Tribolium castaneum: one gene and its partner. The protein of the gene in region 2 interacts with the protein of the main gene of each other region in a pairwise test. Links are inferred from orthologs where the notes say so. Each region holds a gene or a part of one and is shown on either strand. Other genes may lie near its edges.

The links. The genes of interacting proteins can lie anywhere in the genome.
Region 1: the proteins of E3 ubiquitin-protein ligase RNF25 (region 2) and eff interact in a two-hybrid assay, tested with the Drosophila melanogaster proteins (2 studies listed by BioGRID). The link is inferred for Tribolium castaneum from reciprocal best matches to the Drosophila melanogaster genes CG13344 and eff.

The regions. Positions count from the first base shown.
Region 1 is NC_087397.1:3,982,199-3,988,773, forward strand, and holds eff (ubiquitin-conjugating enzyme E2-17 kDa), read left to right. Parts: upstream 1-2,737; 5' UTR 2,738-3,021; coding exon 3,022-3,045; intron 3,046-3,523; coding exon 3,524-3,587; intron 3,588-3,644; coding exon 3,645-3,676; intron 3,677-3,924; coding exon 3,925-4,108; intron 4,109-5,667; coding exon 5,668-5,807; 3' UTR 5,808-6,308; downstream 6,309-6,575. UniProt on the Drosophila melanogaster protein: Catalyzes the covalent attachment of ubiquitin to other proteins. Mediates the selective degradation of short-lived and abnormal proteins.
Region 2 is NC_087394.1:923,346-929,458, forward strand, and holds E3 ubiquitin-protein ligase RNF25, read right to left. Parts: upstream 4,288-6,113; 5' UTR 4,153-4,287; coding exon 4,136-4,152; intron 4,088-4,135; coding exon 4,019-4,087; intron 3,970-4,018; coding exon 3,270-3,969; intron 3,252-3,269; exon of another isoform or gene 2,430-3,251; coding exon 2,343-2,429; 3' UTR 2,156-2,342; downstream 1-2,155. Other genes in the region: protein FAM135A, read left to right, coding at 50-271, 969-1,314, 1,370-1,581, 1,668-1,827, 1,882-2,155; cold shock domain-containing protein CG9705, read left to right, coding at 4,698-4,792, 4,844-4,966, 5,017-5,164.

The DNA of each region.
Region 1 (6,575 bases), on a different chromosome or scaffold from region 2:
TAAAAAAAATATTTTTTTCCGAACAGTAGTTACGAACTTAAATTGGAAAAATGGTCAGACCCAAAAAATTACAAAATTAACATTACAAATAAAATGAAAGTTTTGTGTTAATGCTCATCGGGAAATTTGTTTAAACTATTAAACTATTCACTGTTGTAACCAATTTTTTTTCAATTTGGTTTAAAATAGCGTTTGCCAAACCAGAATAATGAATACAGTTTGTGTAATAAGAATTTAATTTGAATGCAGTTAAATGCAGCTCTTAAACAATCATCATTCTCATGTTTTCACCAAATACACATGCACACACGACACTCAAACACAATTCGCAAGCAGCACATGTCTGAAGTAAAAGTACTAACCATGGTGTTTTGGGTACAAGACTCTTACCCAAGCCGATCGACAAGAAACTGAATGAAATAAGAAGTTGTGGGAGAGACAGGCACCCCTACTTTGTTTTACTGTTAAAACATTGGAATATCATGACAAGTTCATGGAAAAGTGCAATTCATTGTTGATAAAAGCCAAGCCTGTTGTAAGAATAAAAAGTTGTATGTAATTTGAAAAATGTGATTAAATTTCGTGAAATTTATGGATTCGGTGGAATTTTTATGAATGTTACTTAAGAAAAATTTCAATTGCAAAAATTGCATTTAGAATTTAAAAATTGGGTTAATTGACTGTGTTACGTCTTGAAGTAAATAGGTCGATAAAACAGAGTGAACAAAATAAACTTCCGTATAATTTTTACCACAAAAAAATTGAATTGTGTTACACCTACATATCACCACAATTTGAAAATGGTTCTGAAAGGTATCACGAATCTGTTCGAAGGTTAGATAACAAACCAATTATTAACTACAATCTTTGGTTCAATACATTTTCAAAAATATTACACCACTATTGTTCTAATAGTTCCTGCAGCCAAATTACCTATTAATTAAAGAGAAAATTACAAAACAGTAGAGTTTTCAATGTCGTTTGATGAAAATATTGGGTCTATTGCCTTTCACTTAATTATGCGAACGATTAGCAAAGCGTAAATTTCTCATCTTTTTTGAATCATTTTAATCAAGTTTGGAAAAACAGTAAATTAGAATTAATTTTGCATAACCAGGAAAAATCAGTGTCAAGTTTTTAATCTTGAACTTGCGCACACGCAGTTATTATTTTATATTTTAAAAAGTGATTGCAAAAATAACGATACTTACCTACGAATTTTACAGTTATGAAAATGTTTCTTAAAACAGGATTTAAAATGTTAAAAGTCGACGTTTCCCAAAACTGATATACTTTTAATTATGTAATAAATTATGGAATATTTGTGGAGGTATATCTATTTAGAAATTATTAGGAGTCGGGTTTATAAAATCAAAGATTTAACTAACTTTAGTTGCAAAACTCTCTACATACTACCTAGTTTCCAATAATAAAATAACACATATTTTATTCTCTTTAATGTTTATTCGTGTTGCACAATTATTGCTAGGCATACAAACAAATAAATAAATATTTATAAACAAAAAATTCAATAATTAGAGCAGTTTTTTTCCATCAATAAAAGATATTTACCAATCTTATTGCAATAATGATTAATTGCACAAAACCTTACGATCTCCAAATTTATTCATATTTGGTGAGGACCACATATTTCATTTGCTATTGACAAGGTCACTTATACGTGAAAAACGTGGGAAAGGTGTGTCTGGTAAAATGGTGGTGTGTCTCTATGACGTATAAATCTTTAAAAAGAAGCGAAAGTAAGGCAGTCATGCGTTATGTAAAATATTTGTAATAGTCGTAGTCTCGGAGGCTGTCTGAAATAATGATGAGAATCTGGTTCATCGAGAGAATAAGAAGTAGTTGTTTTATCTAAATCGGAAAGGAAAGCTCTAATCATTACATTCGTGATGAGAATTAGATATGTACATCTATTTATTACAAATAACTATTTTATAAAAAAAAATAGTTTAACAAGATCCAAGGCAGACGAATTTGACTGATCAAAATTTGCATTTTTGTTTAAAGTTTAGGTACAATTTAGATCACAATCTAGGACTTATTTATTAGATATAAACCAAATAATTACTAATCCTTATATTTTTTATGCTACATTGAATTTAGGAGGGAGGGTCCAGGGGACGAATGCTACATTTTTGAGAAAAAATACAATGGTAATTTTTTTTTTAATTGTTTATTGTTTTTGAAAGTACACTTCTTTATCTTTCTAATAAAAAAAATAAATATTACACCTAACAAAAATGTACTGTAAGGCTTTATCTTGTTGTTCTTTCTTTATGTTGTAGGACATTTGTTTTGCATATATTTTTTAAAATAATTAGCATAGAAAGATAATAATAATAATAATATATAAAATAATGCAGGATAAAGATAAATAAGGTTTTTTTGTGTAATTCTCAATAATTTTTGTAGCTACAAAATGTGAGCAACAAATAAACTTAAATTTGAGACACCTTTTTTACATTATTGCTTAGAACGTAGTAGTTCTATAATAAAATTATAGAAACTGATCTTTGGCTGTTCCACTTATGGAAATGAAGAATTTACAAAAAACTTAAAAAATTTGATTGTATTATGTGTTGCATAAAAAAAGTTTTAACGCCATCTCTTTTTTTCATAGCGTAATTTTGCGAATTGCTGTCATAACGTAGCGGATCTGTAATGAGTTCACGGAATTGGGAGCTGTTTTACCGACATGACTAAGTCGCCACGGAAGTGATCAGTCATCTTTTCTGGAACCTAAAGTTGATCCCCGTACTCTGTATCAAAAAGACAAAGTGTTTCAATAACTGATATATTTTCGGGTAATTACTTAGGTCAAGTCGCGAGTAGCTCGTGGTGTTTAAACGCGTAAAAAATCATCGGAAGTCTCCATTTGACCTACGTGGTGTCTGTGAGTTTTGAAGGAGGCCATCTTTGCAATCTCCTATCAGAGGTCCTTGGCTCGAGGTTTCATTGTCTGGTGAAAAGCCAGTATTTATTACACATACACTCCGTCAAATGGCTTTAAAACGAATTAATAAGGTATGTTAAAGTTCGCAGTGAAAGTGATGTTCGCATGTGGCCGCAGATCGTCCCGTTAAAATTGTTTTTGTGGCAGTTAAACGCCCTTAACGATTTTGTGATCCGATAATGTGAATCGCGTTAATCCTGTTATGACCCGAGTTTTTCAACTTGTGCACGCCGTTTTCGGCGCTAGAAAAGCGTGTGAGGGGCTTTTGGCAGGTCGTGACAGAGTTTGACCATTTTCCTCGTACACCTTATCAAATGGCACAAAAAATGCCGGATGTAACGTAACGATTGTCAAACCCGATCGAGACCTGTTTTTCGCTCGGTTTTTCCCTCAGAAACATGCGTTTCTCTCATTGAGGCTAATTTTAAGTGCATAGGTTGGTCTTTCATGCTTCTAACCTCACCATATTAGGGCCCCGACTTTCAGGTGTCTATTATTAACCCGATACCTGTTCAAGTGGATTCTTGCTCAACTTTTCTTGTCTTTCAGGAACTACAAGACCTCGGCAGAGATCCTCCCGCACAATGTTCAGCAGGACCTGTTGGAGATGATTGTAAGTCTGATTAATTTCGCAAAAAGTTGATTCTAAACCACGTTGTGTTTATTACAGTATTTCACTGGCAAGCCACAATTATGGGACCAGTAAGTTTACTTTTTATCTTATTTTTTCCGAAAATCAAGATCGTACATAACGGTACTGATGCTATTAATAGACTTTTAATTTATTTATCCAATAACCTTATGCAAACACTGAAACTTATTGATTTGAGTTTTCTATTCAAAAATGAGTCAACTAGTCCCGGTGTTTCATATTCATAATCACAAATAGCATTGAGTCGTTTTATGGCTTCGGAAGTAATGCTCCAAGTGTGAATTATTTTTCTTTGCAGCCTGATAGTCCATACCAAGGAGGAGTATTCTTTTTAACAATTCATTTCCCAACAGACTATCCGTTCAAACCGCCTAAAGTTGCGTTTACTACAAGAATTTATCATCCAAACATAAACAGTAATGGTAGCATTTGTCTTGATATACTACGTTCGCAGTGGTCACCAGCACTTACAATTTCAAAAGGTATGTTAATTTTTAGTTTTTCAACTTGAAACTTTCAAAAATGATTGTGGATGCCAGTGAATTAAGTTTCACATGTTAAGCAATAAGGAGGTATTACTTAGACATCTTGCAAATCAGTGTTTTTGTTTATTGGTGTTAGCAATTAGACTTTATATGCAATTATGTAACAAAAACACTTTCCAATACTTGTGTCATTTTTTATATAATTAATAATGTATGCCACATGTGCATGCATAAGGTCGTTGCATCTGATTATCAAGTGGCGCCAACTTGTGGGGTTTCGATCAATTCTTCTACAAGTTATTAATTAATAGAATTTTTATCAAGTAGATGACCACATGTTATTTAGGTCATTGTTTATTAATACGATTTCAAAGGATGTTATTTGTTTACAGTTTTTCTGTTCACTTTTTTCACTGCTTCATTTAGTTTGTCTCCAGATAATTTTAAAATTTACGATAAGTCACATACACGTTACATTTTTTTATTTTAACATTCATTAAAGTCTTTGGTTTTGCTTTATTTCATTTAAAAACTTAATTCCATTAAAACATCAAAACTAGTTGTTTACAATCGTTACAAATTTATAAAGGATCATCAAACTTTTTACCTTATAAAAAGCATTTTTAAAATTTTTGTTATTGTTTTGGTAACGGTCTATTTAGTTTTTATTGTTCAAATAAGTAATAAAATAATGAGTAACGCTATAGTCAATATTAGCAGCAAAGCGTTACTATTATCGTAAACTTGGGTGTAATTTATAATAATAATTTTAATAATAAAATATTTGTTTATATTTTTGTCCAGATTTACCTTCACACAATAAATCCTGTGGTGATTAATAAATTATTATTTATACAGCACTGTAGTGCAATAAATTTACTTTTAACGTTGTTTGCGACTTGACATTTGTAACCTTTGTGCGATATCCTTAGGTGGATAACAGTTTTCTTGATTATGTTTTATATGTGCTATGTATGTATAATTTATTTTTGTTTTATGAGGTGTTACGATTTTTTCATTTACTAATACTACATTTTTAAATGATCTTGCATTAAACTAGATTTGATTTTACATGTAGACGGTGTCTCCAGTCTTACGGCCGGAGCAAAAATAAATATTTCTAGTTAAATCAAAAAATTATTTCGTAGCCTAAACGATAGAAAATTTGATGCTTTATTTCTTTCAAGTTGGCAACTGCAAAAATAGAGTTAAGCTATTGGTTTGAGTAATTAAAAAGAGGGGATAATAACCACTTTACTCGTATTATTTTATTTTAAATTTGCAGTTCTCTTTTCAGAATTGTTTTGCCGATTGTGAAATTTGACACATTTAGTGAGAATTTAATATGAAACAAGCATAAGAATTGAGTCATAATTGTTATGGATAAAGTGTTTAGCTGCTCTGCAATTGTTATTGTTTTTAATATGTATTAGAGCAAACACGTTTATTGTATTTTTCTTGAGTTGAGTTTTTGCGTGGGAGTTAAGTGCCGATTGCGTTTTTATGTCAATTGATTGTTGGAGGTGATGAATGAGTAATTGGTGTTTTTGTTCCAGTACTCTTATCAATCTGCTCACTTTTGTGTGACCCAAATCCAGATGATCCATTAGTACCAGAAATCGCTAGGATATATAAAACTGACCGGGAAAAGTACAACGAGCTAGCGCGCGAGTGGACTCGCAAATATGCTATGTGATGCCCCGGCCCCCAAACCCCACACTTCACACTTTAGATAAAAACAACTTATTTAATTGCAACACTCGGAGGGGATAAGCCAGCGTCGATTATTTCTGTCAAGTTGTATATTTGCTTTGGACTGTGCTCCCTCCGCCACTTACTACCACAGTATCCATTGGGGTTTAAAGTGTTCAAAAATCATTTATAATCTACATTAAATTTGAAATTACTTTGTTTGAATTGAATATATTGTGGTTGTAAGAAGTCAAGTGTTGGGTTGCGTTTTTCTTTCCCACTTGCACCCGACTTCCTTGCTGGAGTAGTGAAAGTGCGTGTTGCTTGTTTGTTTGATATAAACACTTGGCAGGCATTTTTAGTACTTGATGATTTCAACGTCGGGTCCCGGATTTTCTATCCAGCGTATGGATGACACTCATATACTAATATAATTGTTAGATAAATTAATATGTAGGTTTTGTGGTTCAACTAGGTGTATTGTAATAAATGATTTTTTTCTCTACATTCTATACATGTTTCAAGTTTTTAATATTCTAGATCTCAGATGTCTAGTTCTATTCGGCTAAATTTTAAAGGTAAGGCGACTCTTATCGAATGCGTGACGTTTAGTTTACACTGAAGTTGACCAATGAGCAAACAGAGCATTCACAATTCTGGCATCTGATCGTTATTTTTGAAAACAAAGTGGCCGTTTTGTTTGCTCGATTACACTCTAGAGCAAGTCCCCAACACTTCTAAAGTTCAGACAAATCGTAGAAAACCGATCTTG
Region 2 (6,113 bases):
TGGGTGGTTTTTGTGGTTTGTGAGTGTGTGTGTGAAAGTTTTATTTCAGGCTGTGAATTTAATCAAAGTAATTTTTGCGACGAAATTGCGCTACCTCCACCTAAACAGTTTCGGGATTTGGATTCGCCGTCTAGTTCTATCACGAATGGAACAAATGAAGAAGAAATAAATGCTGTTGATAATATTTTGTACCATGTGGTGGATACGCAGACTACGTTGGAAAGGAAACCGGTAGTGGATGACGATAAGAGACCGACGAATCAATCAATGGGTAAATAATTCATTAATTTTAACGAAAATCAAAAAACTTGTAAAAATAACACAAAAACTAGAACCTACTAATTTTGGTATTATTTTTTGACTGAGTTTTTGGAACGAAAATATAGATAAAAAGATAAAGTGTTTGTGCACTAGAACTTTCGATCTTGGTGAATAGAAACGTTCCAAAAATAGTTTCACTTAATTTGTTTTGTTTTGGTTAAGTTTTGTAATTAATATCACGTATTTTTTTTGTAAAAGTAAATCAACAATTCCCGTAACAAAAATAAAAATAAAGAAAAAAACAAAGGATGAGAAATTACATAAAGGAGAAATAGACAACTAAGAAAAAGACAAATTTTTGTTTTTAAAAAAATCAGTTTCCTTAAAAATATAAGCAAAAAACGGAGTATTTACAACAAAAGTGAGGTAATTTTATGTAAATATCTGAAGAAATAAACAAGAATATAGCACATTTTTGGGCGTAATTTGTCTTAGTTGCTCGATGGAAAATAGGAAATATTGCAGTTTAAACTGCGTTAAATCTTTCGATTTTGTTTAAGAAACAAGCAAGAACAGCACATTTTTGGGCATAATTGTTTGGGCGAATTTTTTCAAAGTTTTTTTAACGCAGAAATAAAAATCGTTTTTTAAATCAACTAATATTTATTATTACAAGTTTAATTTCTACTAGTACAATAACTTTTTAGGATACCATCATTTCTCCAAAGGCTCGAAATCCGAATCGGAGAAAGCGTTCATTCGCTCCAAAAATGAATTCAAAAGTCAATTAAACTTCCCCGGTATTTTGTATTCCGATTTCACGTCGTTCGCTTCGACGATTCCCTATTTTCACATAAGCGACGAGTTTCGTATTTTTTCGCCTGAAGGAATGCATCTGATTGTGTGCGTTCATGGCTTAGATGGAAATTCAGCTGATTTACGTTTAGTTAAAACCTATCTAGAGCTTGGACTTCCTGGGGCGTATCTCGACTTTCTCATGTCCGAACGAAATCAAGGAGATACTTTTAGCGATTTTGATACCATGACCGATAGGTAATAATAAATTAATAAATTTACAATCGTTCTATGAGATAATTTTTTTTGGTAGATTGGTCAGCGAAATTCTTCATTATTTAGACACGAGTAGCATTCGACCAACGAGAATAAGCTTCGTGGGTCACTCCTTAGGTAACGTTATTATTAGATCTGCCTTAACAAGGCCCCAGATGAAATTTCTACTACCAAGACTGCATACTTTCTTATCACTCTCTGGACCACATCTGGGCACTTTATACAACAGTAGTGGATTAGTCAATATGGGTAAATAAATTTAAAAAAAATTCTTTTTGTATTTTTTATTTTGGAATTTTATTGCAACGTTTATTATATATTATATTAACTTGCAGGAATGTGGTTTATGCAGAAATGGAAAAAATCAGGATCTCTTCTCCAGCTCTGTTTGAAAGATTCTAACGACGCTCGACAGTCGTTTTTGTACCGACTGAGTCAGAAAAGCACTTTACACCATTTCAAAAACGTGCTACTTTGCGGTTCGGGACAAGACAGGTTCGAAAATTTAAATTTTGGAGCCACTTTTTTTCTTACAAATAATTGTTTCAGATACGTTCCGTTGCACTCGGCCCGGATTGAGCTGTGCAAAGAATCGATCAAAGACACCTCTGATCAAGGCGCCATCTATCGAGAGATGGTCCACAACATCATCTCACCCATAATAGCACAGAAAGACGTGAATTTGGTCCGCTATGACATACACCATGCCTTACCTAACACAGCGAATGCTTTGATTGGTCGAGCTGCACACATAGCCGTCTTGGATTCGGAACTCTTTATTGAGAAATTCATGGCTGTAGTGGGAATTAAGTATTTCCGTTGAACTATTCTATTTATTAAATATTTTATAAAATAAATTAAAATACATTTACATTTATTATTAGTCCTAAAAGTAGTTTTATACCTTCACTAGAACAAAATTTTTCACAAACAATAATGAGTAATATGACACGTACTTTTTTTGACATTATTATTTTTTTTATTATTATTATTATTATTGAACACTTTGGTCACCTGCTTGAAGTGGTTCGTGGTTGACGACCCAACACTCCATTATTTGGTGGTGGATCACTTGGAGGCAGACTAGGACCAGAATCCTGGACAAAGTTTTTATGCAAAAACAACGAACCGCATCGAAATGTCAAAAATCGTACTGAACTTAATTGCATTACAATTTTAATGTAAAAGGTGTTCGACATAACACAACACTTAAACAGTGTTTTTATTTGAACGTAACGTACAAATGTGTGGTGGTGAGTTATATAGGGTTATTCTTTTAAAGCCTACATTAGAAACTTTACAAATTGCAATTTAGCTAGAGTCTTGAAATTTTGTAAATCGACTATCTCAAGTTCAACTTAATTATTTTCAAAATGGCTGAACTTCCAGAACTATGAAAATTTGGCGCCAACTTTGAAATTATAAATGGTAACCACTTATTTTTATTACATTTTTTAATTCACGTTTTCAAATGAGTCCAATAGTTTTGACATGTCAATTTTATTTTAAAATTTTATTTGCAGAGGTTCATTCAAAACAGCACAGCCCAAAATATGACGATCAAAAAATGGTTATAACACCCTTTTTTAATGAACATTTTATTTGACAAAAATACTATGACAGATAAGTACCAAAAACTTGAAAACATTTTACTCAAATTGAGAAGACGACTTCAAAAATAGTGTAGACCAAAAAAAGAATAATCCTGTAGTTATAGGTGACGTTTTTTGCGACACACCCTGTATAAAATGGCACCAAAACAATTTATTTTCTTGACGTCTCCGCCCACTCTGTGACATTTTGGTGTCAATTTTTTTTTTTTTTTTAGTTAGAAAACTGTTTCGTCTATTTTTTTACGACTGTTTTGATGCCGAAATAATACGTTTTATAAGATGTTATTAAATAAATGTTTACTAAAGTGTGTTTTTTTCACTTACGTCTCCCGGTGAGTTTTCGCTCGATTCCGTAATGAGAAGTAGTTTATTTTCTTCGGCTTCCACATCGATAATTCCACCTCGACTCTTTTGGTAGATAAATAATTGTCTCATTTGTGCTTGCAACATTTGTAATTCTTTGGTGACTTGAAAATTTTGAGCTTTTTCGAGTTCTCTCGGTGGAAGAGCGTTCTTCAGTTCTTGGACATCACAGTTGATTGGTTCGCGACAAACAGGACACGAGGCTTGAAAACCTGTTGTGCTTTTTTGCCAAGTTGGTAATTTTTCTTGTTCTTCAATAAAGTGTTTTTCGGTTGTGATTAAATGCATTGCAAGACAGTAGGAATGGAAGTAGTGGAAACATTGCGTTTTTGTAAAACTATCACCTTCGGAAAATCCGTACAAACACACGGCACAATGACAAGTTGGTAAATTGCTCTCAGTGAGATTTTCCCGAATCAATTCGATTAATTCGTAAATGACAGGCTGACCAATAAACTCGTTACATTTGTCCTTGATGGCGCGATACAAATGATTTAAGGTCGTGTCGTCCAAACCTCGGGGATTCCTCAATTGAACTAAAGGCTCACAATCGGGGTAATCCCCCGGTAATTTGACTTCCAAAGTCACACAGACGTACTGTTTGTCAGTATCGTCGGCAGTCGACGGAAATATCGTCGATTTGACTAGTTCGGGACACCCACTAGGGGGAAAAATGCAAATAATTGTGCTAAAATCAGTCAAAATCTTACTTGTCTCCATACGATACCGAAATATCGTCCATTAAAATTGCCTCCAACGCTTCAATTTCTTCCTGAACCCTTAAACACAAACGTTAATCAAGCGGTTTTAGTTTGATGAGTCTTTACCTTTCATTTAACGACATTTTTATAAGGTTTTGGGTGAGATTAATCAATATTGGGACGAAAATTCAATTTCTGTCACCTGTCACTGTCAAACTTCACTTGTCAAAAAGCAGTGGCGTCGGTAAATTTTAAAACGCACTAAACTATTTTTATATTCACAACTAAAGTACGTATCGCATGTCGCAATGGTGGAAAAAATTGTGCTGTTTCATTGATTATAATTGTTGATTTTATTTCATTAAAAAAAGCGAGATAAAAATTGTGTTTTTCGAGTGCACACCTATGACTTTGACGTTTTGCCAACCAAACGTCAAATGGACAAGAAAATGGTTTAAAAGAAATAATTAAAACGTGTAATTGCACTAATTATTTGACAATTGTCACAATTAATGTGAAAATTGGGGCCTAAAGTTTTTTTAGTGAAAAAATGGGCCAATGTTTGGCAACATTGTGTCAAGGTCACTTGTGTCCTATGCTTGTGTCAAATTTGGCAAGTGTTAGTCAGTGGCGGCATTTCTCGTAGTTTTTTCGTTTTTTTCGCCGAATTCATCAATTTTTGTTCAACATGTCGAGTGGCGACAATAAAAACCTTCATCCAGGGCCCAATACTCATTTAATTCCAAGTCCGCTGATAACGAAACGAAATCGAACACCGTCTACGTAAGTCGGTCAATAATCGTTAATGTAAATATTGCAAAAAATATATTTCAGATGCGAGCGCATCTTAAAACACCAGAATTTGTACGGGGAAATTAAGTCCTTCTGTCGGGAGAAAGGGCACGGTTTTATCACACCTGAGGACGGGTCTGAGGACATTTTCGTCCACATTTCAGAGTAATTTCGTGTTTATAAATTGGTTTGTTTGCTATTGGAGTTATTTTTAGCATTGAAGATGAGTACATTCCCATACCTGGAGACAGGGTTAAATACCAACTGTGTCCAATTCCGCCAAAGTTTGAAAAACATCAAGCAGTACATGTACACATTGTCAACCTCAAACCAGAAGTCCATAAGAGATGGGAAAGTTACTAAACAAAATCTCGAAATATAACTCACCATGCATTTATTTTAGCTAATATTTCAAACATATTCCTGTATTTTTACGTGTTTTATGTTCATTAAAATTATATATCCTCTAATACAGGGTTATTCTATTGCTGCCTACATTAGAAACTTTTAATTTCCAGTGTAGAGTTTAAGGTAATTTTAGTGCATTTTTGAATTCGCCTTCTTAAAATGAGTAAAAATTACCCAAGTTGTTGCTACTTATGTCTTACCATAGTTTTTAACATGTAAATTTTTTTCTCAAAATTTTATTTATTCAAAACAACACAGTAACAAGTGAATATTTTTTTACATTCGATAACCAGAGGTTGGAAGAGTCTGAGATTTTCAAAATTGTCAACAACTGTCAAATTGCAAGGTTAGTATCATTTTCAAAAAACGAACGACTATTTTCTTAACGGCAATCGAAAAAACATCGATATTTATCGTGAGTTTTATCGACTCATCATATATTTACTATAAATATCTTTTATAATTTTTGAAATAATCACAAAAAACAATTTTATTTTGTAATTTTCATCGTTAATCAAGTAGGCCTTGCAAAATGTCCAACTATTGTCAACCTTCAACATATTTTGTTTAGTTTTTAGAATTCAGAAATAAAATTAACTAGACGCCCTCTGGTGATGACTTTTGAACTATGTCGAAAACAGTAAAGAAATTTTCGTAATTCCACATTTAACTGACATTTAATGAATTGTTCAACAATTTTGCGTGTATAGTGTTAATTACTTACAATAGAAAGAATCACTTTAAAAGTACGTGGTGGTAAATACTAGCGTTGACTTTGGTTCTGTAGTTTTTCGTGGTATAAAGTGTTTATTGTTGGAACTTGAAAGTGGATAAAAAGTGAAAAATATTTAAATTTTGATTACAAAGTGTTATCAAACAGTTGTCTAATTAAAGATTATAAGTA